Linked DNA regions of Saccharomyces cerevisiae S288C. Changing the gene in region 3 together with the main gene of any one other region gives a genetic interaction. Each region holds a gene or a part of one and is shown on either strand. Other genes may lie near its edges.

Region 1 (4,134 bases), on a different chromosome or scaffold from region 3:
GTGTTATTCTAGTGCAAAGAATAGTGCTAGAATTAGTTTTATTTACAAATAGGTTTTTTAAAAGTACTAATGGAACAAAAAAAGTCCAAAAAAAGCTAATATGCACAGTGAATAAATACACTGATAAGACCTTCTCTTTTTTTCTAAATGTATTTTACTGTCTGAACCGTCCATTTTTTAACATCTCATTGGCAATCAATATGTAAAGTTACCTTATTATGTAGAGGTTTTTCTCTTCCATCAGTGAAAAAAAAAAACGAAAAAAATAGAGCTTCACGTGACCTTTTTAAGCCAAATAAGAATAATGCTAAAAGGAAGTTAATTACTTTACTAATTTCCAGTATCCACAAGCATGAGGATATTAAGGACTTCTTATGAAATCCATTTATTGTGTATAAAACGTACGTATATTCTTTCTTTAGTTCATCGATTTTTAGATTAGCGCTAATATTATTATCCTAGACAAAAAATAGTTTAATAGGGTTTCTCTCGCATTCTTTTCATTCTTTATTTAGAGCATCCAGCGCAGTTGTCGAAGAGTTGGCATCTAGTTGTCGTAAATCTTTGGATGATTCCAGATAGGCACTTAACCGTCTTTGCTGCTCCTTATGGATTTGATCTTCTGTATCATCCTGGTGCTCATTTTCGTTGTCCTCGTCTATGGCACTAGTAGAAAACACTCGTCTTAAGAACCTTGAATTGTCAGCATTGTGGACCTCATCCGCTTCATCAGCTTGTACAGACAACGGAGAACGGTCTGCCGAGTGAGTTCTATAACTGAGACCATGCGTTGGATGAGTTGTCTTCCATGTCGTGCTTGGTAATTCCTCAACCAGACTTGCTGATGGTAGTAACTGGTTAGTCTTCACTGAAACATTACCAGGGTTAAAAAATTCAATAAACCTCAAGACTTTAGCAATGACCAAGGTATCGGCATCTTTGCCCCAAATCAAATCCAGGTGTTCATAATTGTCAACTTTAACATCAAAGACGGAGTTGAAGGGTAGATTTTTTTTCATCACATCAATATCAACTAAAGAATCTATGCCACCATAAATTAAAAGAATGGGAATCTTGATATTTGTTCTAGTAGGAAAATTAGCAATTTGGTAAGGCCTAGTTAAGGAATTTAGCATGTTATCAGACTCTTCAAACATTTGAAATTTCTGAGATCTTAATATTTGGAACCAGTGAACAATGGATTTTACACTGGTCGTTGAATAAAGTTTTGCGTAAGAAGCAATCTTTTGTCTCGGTAGAATGTTAAACGACTTCCAATTGAACAGTATCTTGTTTGCGATATCGATACACAAATTGAAAAGTGTTGGATGTAAAGTTCTTTGCCAAATGACAGCTGAAGGTAACACAATTTTCCTACCAAAGAAAAGATACATAAAGCCGGGCGATGATTTGGCCAAGGTATCGACAATTCTGTTGTGCAACCCCTTTGGAGTCATAGCGGGTGCTATGGCTATAAAATGGGAGACTTTTCGATTCAATTTTTCACTCAACGAAAATGCAGCAAACATTTGAGCAGAGCCTTGAGAGAATCCGATGCAGATGACCTTGTCCACTTTTGTTATATCTAAGATGAATTCAATTGAGTTTGGAATGTCAAAGAACGCAAATTCGTCGATAGAAAAATCCCAAAACTTGTTCGATTTTGGTGGTTTGTTCAAGTGGGCAGTTGAATATTTATTACCTCTATTATTTCCCATCCAGACGTCGTAACCTAAATCATGCAATACAAACGGTAAGTTTTTATGTCTTTCAATATTGCAACACCAAACATCAGAACACATCAAAAGACCGTGATGTAAGTATACCACTTTATTGTTAAATCTGTTTTTAGAAATCGGTGGGATTCTATGCAGTGTCAAGATATAATTGTCTTCAGTTCTTACCAAATGATCCTCGACAGATATATCAAAAATTGCACACATTTCATGGATAGTTGGAGCTGACCTTAACTTTTCTTCGATGGTATTGTCATCGGAGGACGTTGAGAAATTTATTAGCCATTCGAAAAGGTTAATCATTGGTTGTGGTATAAGTTTAAGGACTGATGAAATAATGCTTTCTATGTATACCAAGACGACTATAATGTAATCTGTTATCGATAATCTGCCTAAAAAGGGGAAGTACATTTTGCCAAAAGACAGTTTTTTAAAATAGTGCTAGAATAATAAAGTTTTGTTCGAATTGTTTTCTTTCTTCTTTCCTTGTTCCTTAATATCTCTGCACACCTAGTTATTCCTCGAAAATAATTCTTCTTGTATTTACTTTATACAAAAGAAAAATGACCGCCTATGTTTGCTTTTTCTTGCCAGTAACAAATAATAGCTTCAATAAGTATCCGGAAAGAAATTATCTTGATATCTGTAAAAAATCACTGATATTTTGTTGAATATGATTACTCTTGCGCTATCTTTTCCTGTTTTTCCTCTTGTTTGTTCCTTTATTTTCTCTATTGTATTTTACAGAAAGGCAAAAAAATAAAAAATGTGCCCCTAGTAAATATAGGTTTGTGTTAATCGGCATTTTGGGTTATAAAGATCTTAAAGAATAAATAAGTGCGGTATTGGGTCATATATAGGAACGTATATATAAAATTGGCTATATATATATTTGTGTGTAGAAACAGGTGCGTCGCCTTAAAGAATCATAAAGTTAATAAATAAGTACCGAGAACGGCGGTGAAACCAATGAGAGCGTAACCAGTTCTGTAAACGCCTTTCAATGTCAATTCCTTAGCGGTATCCCAGATCAAGTGTCTAATGGCGCCACCATAGTGAATTGCAAATAAGTAAGCAAAGGAACCCTTGATGGACCATTCGGTAATCTTGGAAAACTTCTGATGGTACCAATTAGAAACCTTTTCGGTAGTCAATCCAAGACCTAATAAACCAGAGACTCCGAAGAGTATAGTAAACAAGTAGAAACCTAGTCCCATAAGCACCAACGAAATACGGTGAAGAGAAGACAGGTACCAAGTTAATTGTGGCTGGTAAATGGTCAGATGTGGAGAAATAGGTCTCTTTGCTCTTTGCTTGTTTAATATTTGTTCTTCAGCAATTGCCGCTTTGGTGTTCATTTCACTGGCCACATTCTTCAATGGTGAGGTAGAAAGGAAGTTTGTTCTAGCTGTATTAAAAAGCAGCCTCCTCGAGGAGCTCAAGGCAGCTGCTCTTGAAAAGGCGGAGGGTTTCAGTAATAGAGCCGACTTATTCAGTCCTAACTTGACCATCATTGCAGACATCGTTTATTATTCTTAGAGCTTGTGATTGGCAATTTTTGGTTGGTCCTGAGATTTCTATGCGGGGATCTCGATATCATAATGCCAGTGCACATTTATACAAGTACCAAACGCTTAGAGCGGAAAACGGAGCGGGCTACCGCAGCCAATCAGAATGGACCTGGTCAAAAGTTAGATGATGCTTAAGACTACTGAATGGTATACAAGGTAATATATAGAAGGCTGTTGGTATACAGCTTTCAATCACAGATAAAAAGTATAGGTATACTTATGGGAGGAAAACTTTGAATTCTTTTCTTCTCTTTTTCACCACTAGAACATCCTTTAACTGCAATGCCGCGGAAAACATAGGTTTCATTGAAAGAGAATCCTGTTATGATATACTCAAAACTATATGTATATAGATATATATATATATATAAGTGAGGGAAATTTCTAGAACCTGGAACTCAAGCCCTCTTATTCATTGATTTTTCATTTTTTTTCATTTTCTGTTTACCATATTTCGGTTCCTCTTCTAAGGGAGAGACCTAGATAGCGGGCAACATCATTAAATGCATCATCTAGCTCATCTTTGGAGAACTTTTCCAACTCCTTAGAAATCTCTTCATCAGTGGTCTCATTAATGTGAAAGGCTTCCACCTTACCTTCCAGGAAGTTTTCAAAATCTTCTTGTTCCTTTAGAGTTGGTGGCAATCTTTCGTAGAATTTAGCAAGTCTTACCAGTTTTAAGTCTGGGATGTCTTTAAATTCTTTCAACGACTTAGGGAACACTCCGTCTGAAATAGCAGGAATATCACCATCTGCATTAGGCAGTGGCGCTATAACGTCATCATCATCTTTTTTCAAAGAGTTAACAAGTCTTCTGATAGACCTTT
Region 2 (2,869 bases), on a different chromosome or scaffold from region 3:
GGGAGACTTCCTTATTCAGGTTTTCCACGGTACCGGGATTGACCAGCTCCAAAGATTGTCTGTGAGAATGCAATTGTTTGTACGTATCCACAACAAAGCTAGATATTGGGTTTGAGGAGAAGAAATTCCCCTTGGATTGCTTCGCAGTCAAAGGAGAAAGGGCCGGGATAGTGGGAATTTGAGAGGCCTCTGCTAATGGAGTTGGTGCAGACATGATTCACGTCGGTTATTGGTAGTCTTTTATTGTTTTGCACGATGGTTAAAAGGCCTTATACGCATACACCGCTTTCAAAGAATTGAAGATTGAGTTCATGTCCACCAAAAGACGCCTTTTTCACTTTTTGCAAACGCCGAATATATCCGTCGTCGTAGGTGATAAAAAGCTAAAGAGAATATAAACAATAGATAATAATAATAATAATAATAATAGTAATAGTAATAATAATAATAGTTATATTATAATGGACTACCGCATGACTGATTTCGTGAGGTCGGGCAGCTTAGAACTTTTTGTTTTGCAACAAGTTCTTACCCATGTCCCTGGCAGTCAGGTAGACAGTTCTATATAGAGTGTATAAATCAAGAGTACTGGAGAAAGTGTCCAAAAACCCGAATGGCAACATACATGGAATCCAGCCTTGAGCCAATTCAAGGGCAAAGGAACCACCTGGCATGCTGTATTGCTTGGCGTATCCCTTCTTCAAGTGATGAGTCATACCAGGAGTGTAAACTTCGGCTTCAGTGGCATATGGCAATGCTGCGATTTGCGTACCATGTAAGATGGTAAAATAGTCGTCAGCAAAGTGAACACCTGTGTGCCCTTCAGTACCAACAGCGGTTCCGAATAGAATTAAGTACTCGGATACGGAAGCGTGTAGGATGATCATTTGGCCCATCGCACCACCAGCATTGTTGAAGACCCATTCTTCTTTGACGTACCTGTTGATGTATTCGTCCCCGTAATGAGAGGCAAGTGCGTCTCTGACATCCTGTAACAGGTCTTCAGTGGATAAACCTTCTGCTGCGTTGTGTTTGCTAATCACCGAGTTACATATTTCGTTCAAAGTTTTTGGATCGAACATGTAATTGGTTGGCAACCAGGTAGTGAACAATACGTTCATAATGTAGCCTACAACACCAATCAACAAAAGGAGTGGGAAAAACTTCATGGCTATAATGGTCTGGGCTAGTCTTAGTTTGATTGAGCGACAAGAGAGATCTGAACCCAGTGTCAAACGTTACCGCTTCTTTCTCTTATATACCATGGCGCTGCAGATCTATCCAAATTCTTCCATACTGAAAATCATCCAAACGAGAACGATAGCACCGGTAGTTTTCCTTGCGGCTTATACGAGGGCCGTGGTTCGATTCTGCCCTGGAGCGTAAGGGCAGGAATGTGCATTGCATAAGATCATAATGGGATACTTCGTTGATAATAAGCAGAATCAACATAGCAGACTGCTAGTGGCATACTCCACAACCCTTGTTTTTTTTTTTTTTTTTGTTTGAATAACTGTACTTCTATAGAAGCTCTATCTACAGCATGTTTGACGTTTGCTAAGTTGTAGGGAGAAAAGAGGAAAGTGAAAAGAAGGTAAGGAATTTATCGGAACTAGAAAAAGAGTTTGGATCTTCGTAGTGAAGGTATCGAACGTAACGCTATGACTCCCGAACAAAAGGCCAAACTAGTATGTGTGAAAATGATTCTGTGTTTGTATTTTAACCGTGGGTTTCTTTTTACTAACAATTTAACGATGAGATGAGCTGTGCAGGAGGCTAACAGGAAATTAGCAATAGAACGGTTAAGAAAAAGGGGAATACTGAGTAGCGACCAATTGAATCGAATAGAAAGTAGGAATGAACCTTTAAAAACCCGGCCTCTCGCAGTTACTAGTGGCAGCAATCGGGATGATAATGCAGCAGCCGCAGTACATGTGCCAAATCATAATGGACAACCGTCTGCGCTTGCTAACACTAACACTAACACTACTTCACTTTATGGTAGCGGAGTAGTTGATGGAAGTAAAAGGGATGCGTCGGTACTCGACAAAAGGCCAACGGATAGAATCAGACCTAGCATAAGGAAACAAGATTACATTGAGTACGATTTTGCCACCATGCAGAACTTGAATGGTGGTTATATCAACCCTAAGGACAAGCTTCCAAATTCTGACTTTACCGATGACCAAGAATTTGAATCTGAGTTTGGATCTAAAAAGCAGAAGACACTACAGGACTGGAAAAAGGAACAACTTGAACGGAAAATGCTGTACGAAAATGCACCTCCTCCAGAGCATATTTCAAAGGCGCCGAAATGTATTGAATGTCATATTAATATTGAGATGGATCCTGTGCTACATGATGTGTTCAAGTTACAAGTTTGTAAACAGTGTTCTAAGGAGCATCCAGAAAAGTATGCACTACTGACGAAAACAGAATGTAAGGAAGATTACTTTTTAACAGACCCCGAATTGAATGATGAGGATCTCTTTCATAGACTAGAAAAGCCGAACCCTCATTCGGGGACATTTGCAAGAATGCAACTATTTGTTAGATGTGAAGTGGAAGCCTTTGCGTTCAAGAAATGGGGTGGAGAAGAAGGTTTAGATGAGGAATGGCAACGTCGTGAAGAAGGAAAGGCTCACAGAAGGGAGAAAAAATACGAAAAGAAAATCAAGGAAATGCGACTGAAAACAAGAGCTCAAGAATATACTAATAGATTAAGAGAAAAGAAGCATGGGAAAGCCCATATTCATCATTTTAGTGATCCAGTTGATGGAGGTATTGATGAAGACGGTTATCAAATTCAAAGAAGAAGATGTACAGACTGCGGGCTAGAAACTGAAGAAATTGACATTTAAATGTTGGT
Region 3 (8,352 bases):
GGTGGAACAAGTAGTCAAGAAGTTCTGCATTCAACCAACTGAACGTGGTGTGATATATGATGTTAGCCTTCTTTAACGTGTGAAATGTCAACATGTACAGATGGATTCTGGATAGCCGGTTGCAAAACTGTCTCCCAACATGAGTGTTGTTCCAAAAGAACTTGATGAACTTCACCAGCAGGTTCCAGAACGCAAACGCAATTACGTTTGTCATAATTCTCTGCGTCTCCATTTCCTTGTTTACCGTTCGCCGTGATAGCTCCTTGAGCACAGGACTTTCAAAGTTGCCCAATTTAAACATTGGTGTGTCATTTTGTGATTGTGATGAGGGTTTGCTGTCTGTGTCCGGCAATGGTCCCGGCACGTCATTATCGTCCAGGCCCAATTGGCCCGCCTGAATCTTCATAGTTCCCTCTATTATTTTTTTGCCTCTGCGGATATATTAAAAGTCTGTATATTGTCAAGTTCTTATAATATAAATCTTTTTGTTCATCATAACCATCTTATTAATTGTTATTATTTCTATCATTATTACTATTAGCACAAATTTCATTTTTTTTTTTTTTCATTTTTCTTTAGACTTTAGCCCTAATTAGACCTGAGAAATATTATTATAACCTGAGAAAGGTTTATAAAAAGAACATTATAACCTACAAAAAAGATACTTAAACCCTGAAGTTAATAGGTTTGGACCCTCTTTTTTTTTTTTTGCTTTTTTTTAGAAAACCTCAGTATTCACAGTCTAAGGAACAGATAAAGAGAAGCTTTATGAAAGCAGTCCACAGTGCCACGAACTTTGACATATATAATTGACTTGTGGGGGCTACCGACTGGCTTATATTTCTAAAATTTAGAGATTTGATTATCTTTTTCGCAGCGCGTAAAAGAAACCCACGAAGCATCGCTTAATTTACACATATTCTTCGTTCTCCCCTTTTGGAGAGGATTTAAGCTAAGATATATCTTTCTTCGAGCGCAGTGCTGCTTTTGAGTTCTTTCGTTTTAATTTTCCACTTATTTGGCAATAAAAACTGAGTGAAGAGTGCTTCTCTGTCTGTTTTAGGGAGCTTTTTCAGATCATCATCAGATGGGATTTATAGCAAATATACTGTGCTGTTCTTCAGATACTTCCAAAACACATCGTCAACGCCAACCACCAGAAACTAATCACAACCGCAACCGCAACCGTAAGCACAGTTCAAACAAAGCTCAAACTCAGGGTCGTAAGCAGAAGGCTACTCCAAACGGCGACAAGATGCAATATTCCACACCGGAGATCCTTTTGTCTAGTTCCGATTCAGGCAGCAATGCGGGTTCCAAGACAATGCAGGAGAATGGGAATAGCGGCAATGGAAAACTAGCACCTTTATCAAGAGATCACTCCAACAACTCGTACGATGAGGAGAAAGAATATGAAGATTATAATGAAGGAGACGTAGAAATGACGGAGGTTAACAATGCCGGAGAAGAAGAAGAAGAAGATGACGAAGCAAAAGAAAAGCAAGACCATGTCGTTCATGAATATAACGTTGACGCAGATAGAAATTCCAGTATTAATGACGAGGCGCCACCACAACAGGGTCTGTATCAGGTGGGTCAAGAAGATATGAATCCACAATATGTCGCCAGCAGTCCTGATAATGATTTAAACTTGATACCTACAACGGAGGAGGACTTCTCTGACCTGACGCATTTGCAACCAGACCAGTACCATGCCCCCGGATACGACACTCTGCTACCACCCAAGTTGCAAGAATTTCAACAGAAAAAATGTCTGATATTGGATCTAGACGAAACTTTGGTACATTCTTCCTTTAAATATATGCATTCAGCTGATTTCGTTTTGCCCGTCGAAATCGATGATCAAGTTCACAATGTCTATGTTATTAAGAGGCCAGGCGTCGATGAGTTCTTGAACAGGGTGAGTCAACTATACGAAGTTGTTGTGTTCACGGCAAGTGTTTCGAGGTATGCAAACCCCCTTTTAGATACGTTGGACCCTAATGGAACCATCCATCATCGATTATTCAGAGAAGCTTGTTATAACTACGAAGGTAACTACATCAAGAACTTATCGCAGATCGGAAGACCATTGTCCGAAACAATCATCTTAGATAATTCGCCGGCCTCTTACATCTTTCATCCGCAACATGCTGTTCCGATATCTTCTTGGTTCTCTGATACTCATGATAATGAGTTACTAGATATTATCCCACTTTTGGAGGACCTTTCATCAGGAAACGTGTTGGATGTGGGGAGCGTGTTGGATGTGACGATATAGATTTCTCAGTAACATAAAAAGCAGGCTCTTTTTATTACCCCCCCCTTCGGTTATATGTTTGGACGAACTCATGTTTCTCTTTTTATACAGAAGACTTCACCGGATATTTATAAACTTAATGAATTAATTTGCTTATTACATGTATCAATTGTACTTTACGTGTAACATCTACAGATACATATATCCGTATATACTAGCATATATATAAATATATACTCTATACATATATCTATTTATTATGCTTTTCTTTCCTCTTTTTATGGCATATTATATTTTACAAAGAAACCACAAAGAAAAAACTTTTACCTCACCTTGCATTAGGAAACCTCAAATTTTCTATCATTGGCTTACCAATTCTATCTATAACATCATGCGCCCATAAAACGTCCAGATGGGAATACTCATCAATATACCAGATTTTGTACACTGCATTTGCTTCATGATTAATGAAGTGATTAATTAATCGTTCACCATCTACTAATCTATCTTGCTTTGGAATAAACATTATAATGTGTGGAAATTCTTCACTATTTTGTCTTTTCGGATTTAAGTGTAGTTTGTTGTTATCCAAATTATTGCCACTGTCATCATCATTCTTGGCAATAGGAAACCATGTCTTTTTATCTGGAAAAATTTTCTCTGCACCCTTCTTAAAACTTAGCTTATTAGGAAGAGGTGACAACCACCATTGCATTAGTTTGACGGAAATATGGACTGGTGAAAATAAGAAATTTCGGTCCCTTAAAACTCTATCCCATAAGACATCGTTCCAATCAAATAGGTAGTTAAACATGATGTATGAGAGGAACGAAAAAATCTTGGTCCCAACCATTAGTTTTCTCATTGTCATCATAAGAGGTATAAACGATCTTCTACCAAAGTACCACGGAGAATCAATACCTTTTGCCATTAGCCTCACAAATGCTTTTTCATCCAATAAAGGTCCAGGGTACACTGCAGGTGCCAAAGCAACAAAGTTTTCCAGCTTATCGACTAATTTAAAATCACTTGCGTATAGTTTCTCACCGTTGACAAGCCCCATAAACCCTTGTGTTGTACCTTGTGAATGCGCCACGAGCGATAGTTTAGCATATCCGGTACTATCAAGTACATAATTTATAAGTGCTTTTAAATCGTATTGAACCATCTGGTGCATATCCCAATCCCATTTTTTGGAATGATCATTACCTAATTTTTTCATGTTCCACTTGGCATTTAAGCCACATCTGTTATTCCCCAACCAAACATCAAATCCAGATTCATAAAGGAAGTATGCCAGAGATTTTCTACCTGAAGATGCGAAGGCCCCGCAACTTTGCAAAAGACCGTGTAATAGCAAAATGGGTTCACGTTTCACTTCCTCTACGCCATCGTTTAACCTGGACTTGAAGTGCCACAAATCAATGATAAAACCGTCGTCTGTCTCCACCTCAAATTCTTCAATATCAATACCATACTCTTTATAATAGTACTTTAAGTCAGGTACCAGCTTGGTATCCTCCGCAAGCGCAATGTTTTGGAAGGGATTCTCTGCAGCATATGGGGCTTGGTTCACATTCGTTTCCATTTTAATATTAGCATTTCCATCACCGTTCTCTGATAAAGAGGCATTACTAGTCATGGACAGCTTGCTAGTCACAGTACGGTCATATTCAATATTATTTTCCTGATCCCGCTGTAAATCTAAGGGCGTTGTGGAAGATATTGACAAAGGTCTAGAGTGACGTGCTGGTCGTTTCTTCTTCTTGTCATTTGGCTGGATCTTGGTTCTCGAACTTCTTGTATCTCTTGGATCATTTTTATGTTGGAAATGAACTGTCACGTAATTCTTCCATAGTGACAAAATGAATAACCCCGTCATAAACGAAGTGAGAATTATTGCGCTCACCAACCGCTGAACCTCATCAACCACCTTATTTACCATGCTTATCGTAAAGGTGCCACGGGGATCCCAATGATAGTTGAGTATTTCCCAACAATTTTAATTATACCTTTGATGAGAAACATTTGCGTACTATTTGTGTGAAAAAAAATGAAGAACTTAATGCGCGAATTATTGGGATAACAACGCCAATGGTGAATCAAAATATTAACAATGACAAAAAGAATGGGCTATTTTTGTACAAAATACTGTTGCAAATATGATATCATATGAATTCCAAACTCATCTACCGAAAGGAAAAGATAGCTCATTGAACGCTTCATCCGAAAACAAAGAATTGTATGTACAAGCCACGCACTTTAATAACACAATTCTATTGCAAATCAGACTAAATGGGGAAATGGATTCCACCTATGAGGTATCTTCAAAAGGACTAAACCCAATTCTCGATATCAACGTACCACTGGCAGGAAACCTAGGAAACACGGGTGGCGATTATGACGATGAGGAAGAAGAATTTGTAAGAGACCATTTATCTGATTATCAAGTGGTTACCAAGTTGGGAGATAGTGCCGATCCTAAAGTACCCGTGGTATGCGTACAGATTGCCGAACTATATAGGAGAGTTATTCTACCAGAAGTGAGCGGTACGATGGCCCAAGACAACATGCAATTCAGCTTGCTGATATCCATGAGCAGTAAGATATGGAGAGCAACGAAGGAACAAAGCGCTGACGATAATGATTTTGGCAAATTAGTTTTTGTGTTAAAGTGTATCAAAGATATGTATGCAAAGTGATTCTATATAAATTAGTTATGCGTTGTATTATCTATGACTGCCATATCCAAGACTTGCACAGTTCCCTTTTTATCACATAGGGTCATCAAATCTCTATAATTGACAGGATCGATAAGACCTGTACATGTCCAAGGATCCAATTCCGGCTTCGTTGACTCTCCAGGCGATGAAGCTATCAATTTACTAATCTTCTCAATAAGTTCGGGTTGTCTAGATGGCTCACTTATGGCCACTTTGACTTTCATCTTCGCCCTTACTATTGGAATAATTTGCTTAGAAACCAATAATTTGATAGCCTCTAAAGCTTGCAATTTGGCAGGTTTGTTAATAACAGGGCTGAACTTCAGTTCCTGTAAAGCTTTGTGGATCATTGTGGGCGGATATCTTTTCTTTGACACAGGATTTATACATTTAGCGCTAACTATTGTAAGCATTTCGTTATTAACTTTATTAAGCATTAATTGTCTTTCTTTTTCCGATAATTGAATCTCTCCCTTATGCATGATCTCCTCGATGACATCATCAACATTTGTAGTCCCGAAACACTTTTGTAGATCTTCCTTATTAGCAACCAAGCCTTTCGAAACATTCATGAAAACTTGATGTATCTGCAGCACTTCATCCAGATCTTTTTCAATTCCTTTTCGATAGTCTTGGACCTTATTTTGGTAGCACGCGACTTCAAATCTCTTGCGAGCCTTTTTTAATCTCACTAATGAAACATTAGTTAACTTAATCTGTCCCGACGGTTGATTGATAGGCATTGCGTGTTTTACCTTTTCTTTCTCAGAACTATTTTAGTAAAAATTTTAAAAACTTTTACTACTGCATGAAATCACTTAAGTTCGGCCTAGAAAAATTTTTTCATGAACATTATTATATATACAAGGCACTGAGCAGAACAATACACGCTAAGTTTTGTTCTTTCATGAGGTCATAATAAGTTAAATAACAGTCAATACATAAATGCAAAACTAAAAGTACACAGTTTTATTATTTTCTTTTCGTCGTAATGTAGTTTTTATAATCAGTCAACTTTTTTTTTGCTTTTAGATTTCGTTTGTTCCTTTTGTCTTTGGATCCAAAGTTTCTTGAAAATGTAGCCAAAACAATGCCAGCAGGAATATCGAAAAAGATGGGTATAATATAAGTAAAAAAAAAATTTTAACAATGAAATAATACAGGAGAATTCGTGGTTTACAATTTCTGGTTTTTTTCGAAATTGCTATGTGGCTTCTCCAACAATGTAATTGTAGGCTTTTCTTTCTTTTAAGTCCGTTTATCGTATACAGAAAAAGTGCAGGATGTTGTAAGTAAAGGTAGTCAGTCATACCATCATGACAAAATCCACCTCTTGGCAAACATATCTAAAATAGCTCTATAATGGCCGATGACACCCAACACTACGAAGAAATGCCAAAAAGTGTGCGAACAACCAAAATAGTCAACCCACCATAGAGATTTAAATGATTTGGCATGAGACGGACAGGAACTGCATTTGGAATGGGCTGTTGGCACCTCTCTAAAATGAATTTCCCTTTGCTTTGTGATGATTTCTAAATCAGTAGATAATTCGTAGTTTGTTGGAATGGTCTTATCAACCTGAACGTCAGATCTGAACCGTTCAGGAATGAACGAACCGTAAAATACCACACCAACCAAATACCAAACAACAGATTTGTATGTGACGGGGCTAAATAGCGTTGCAGCATAATGAAGATCAGTCAAAAATATCAAATGTAAAAACGACAATACACCCATAGTAGCCAGCAAAATGAAGAATCTAATTCTTAATGGCCTTGCTTCAGGTCTATCAAAGCGAGGCGACCAATTCATAAACACACCAAATACACCCAGCGCCAGAGAAATACTCATGTAAGTGTACATCGCCCAGTAACATGAATACATGGTAACAAACTCCGTTGTCAATATCGAAGCTGTAATTAAGATCGTAATACCGCTATAGTCGACACACGCAAATTTAGAACGTAGCTTCAAGAAGGACGTTCCGTTGAAAGTATGCCAAAACACGGAGCTTAGCATACATTTCAACGCAGCTGCCAAAAACATGAAAACAATCCATCTAGCCTGTGGTGGAACCTGGGAATTCCGCCAAACTTCAGACTGAGGGAAATCGTAAATTGCCAAGTAGATTATATAAATGGCTCCTAACAAATGAGACCAAATATTTGAAGTTTCATTATGCCAGCCGTACCAGTTAAAGATAGACAACAAAGATTTGGAATGGGTATTGTAAAACCTATAGCCATGGATTATGTATCTGTTTTCCCTCCATGGGAATGGCAACTGATAATAATGTAAATGTTGAGTTTCACCTAGACTATACGCTTTGCCATGGTTGTATGAGTTTATAAAAGACTTGATATCGGTAGTAGGATTCAAAGGTTCTTCAATGAGGATTTCCGTCTTTACCATGGATTTTCTCATTGGACCGCAATAGTCTTTCACGCTGGAAATATAATTGTTTTCCTCTTTGATTTTTGTATCATTGAGACGACTTGTTGGGGAACGTAACGAGGACTTCGCTTGAGAACATACAGTTGAAGATGAAGACACCAGTGAAGTGGATGTAGAAGCATTGTTAAGCTTGAAAGTAGCGACTGAATTCACCAAAGTGGCTGCATCTGAATCTCCCAGTGAAAACTGAGATTCTGTATTCAGAGACTTGCCACTGTTTCTTTTGTACACAGAACTTGTTACTTCCTTTTCTTTTGTTGGACGAATTATCTCCAAATCATCATACCGCCCACTTTCAGAGTGTTTAACACTTTCATCAATAGTTGAAAATGGATGAGGAACGAATTTTGAGTAGTTGTAATTATAGATGGATTTACCGGATTTTTTCACCTTCTGAAAATTGTCCACACCCTTCTGCTTTAGCCTTGATAGAGATCCCATGGGTGAGGGTATATACTGAGTTAAGCTTTTGCTTGACGAGTCCATCATGTACTTAATTTGATTGTCTGTTGGGATGTGAACTATTTTTCAGCTTATCTGCGTTGCAGCTTCTTCTTTGTCCACTTTACAATGGCTAAACTTTACCAGACGACAAAACAAGTGTAGAATTTGAATCAACTGTGTCCTAAAGAAAAAATAATGTCCAAAAACTCTTATTATAAAACGAGTAAACCACCACTTCGCTCGAATCGCCAAGCTTTCTAGATGTACACCCACGCTGTGTCACCTTATGACTATATACCTTATCCATCAACACTTTCTCCATTTCCTGCAGGGTAAAAAGAAAAGTGAAGTCACCCTGCACTATACGAGCTTCAGCCCATACCCCACACTAAAACATTTCTTTTTCTGCGGCATTTCTTTTTTTTTCGGTCCGTCCCTGTCCCTTCCCACGAGAAAGCGTAATGATCC

The links.
Region 1: of YEH2 (region 3) and TGL1, changing one enhances a phenotype caused by changing the other (phenotypic enhancement), as found in Saccharomyces cerevisiae (3 studies listed by BioGRID).
Region 2: mutations in YEH2 (region 3) and ERG2 together harm fitness more than expected from each alone (negative genetic interaction), as found in Saccharomyces cerevisiae (2 studies listed by BioGRID).

Annotation. Positions count from the first base shown.
Region 1 is NC_001143.9:178,792-182,925, reverse strand, and holds TGL1 (sterol esterase), read right to left. Parts: upstream 2,148-4,134; coding exon 501-2,147; downstream 1-500. Other genes in the region: succinate dehydrogenase cytochrome b subunit SDH3, read right to left, coding at 2,663-3,259; MRP8 (Mrp8p), read right to left, coding at 3,752-4,134. UniProt on the Saccharomyces cerevisiae protein: Mediates the hydrolysis of steryl esters (SE). Preferentially hydrolyzes ergosteryl and zymosteryl esters. Required for mobilization of SEs from lipid particles/droplets, thereby playing a central role in lipid metabolism and sterol homeostasis.
Region 2 is NC_001145.3:665,837-668,705, reverse strand, and holds ERG2 (C-8 sterol isomerase ERG2), read right to left. Parts: upstream 1,170-2,869; coding exon 501-1,169; downstream 1-500. Other genes in the region: TOM complex pore protein TOM40, read right to left, coding at 1-214; DNA repair protein RAD14, read left to right, coding at 1,662-1,688, 1,773-2,861. UniProt on the Saccharomyces cerevisiae protein: C-8 sterol isomerase; part of the third module of ergosterol biosynthesis pathway that includes the late steps of the pathway. ERG2 catalyzes the reaction which results in unsaturation at C-7 in the B ring of sterols and thus converts fecosterol to episterol.
Region 3 is NC_001144.5:179,201-187,552, forward strand, and holds YEH2 (sterol esterase), read right to left. Parts: upstream 4,206-8,352; coding exon 2,589-4,205; downstream 1-2,588. Other genes in the region: POM34 (Pom34p), read right to left, coding at 1-406; PSR2 (putative phosphatase), read left to right, coding at 1,088-2,281; IRC25 (Irc25p), read left to right, coding at 4,423-4,962; guanine nucleotide exchange factor SDO1, read right to left, coding at 4,974-5,726; IZH3 (Izh3p), read right to left, coding at 6,298-7,929. UniProt on the Saccharomyces cerevisiae protein: Mediates the hydrolysis of steryl esters. Required for mobilization of steryl ester, thereby playing a central role in lipid metabolism.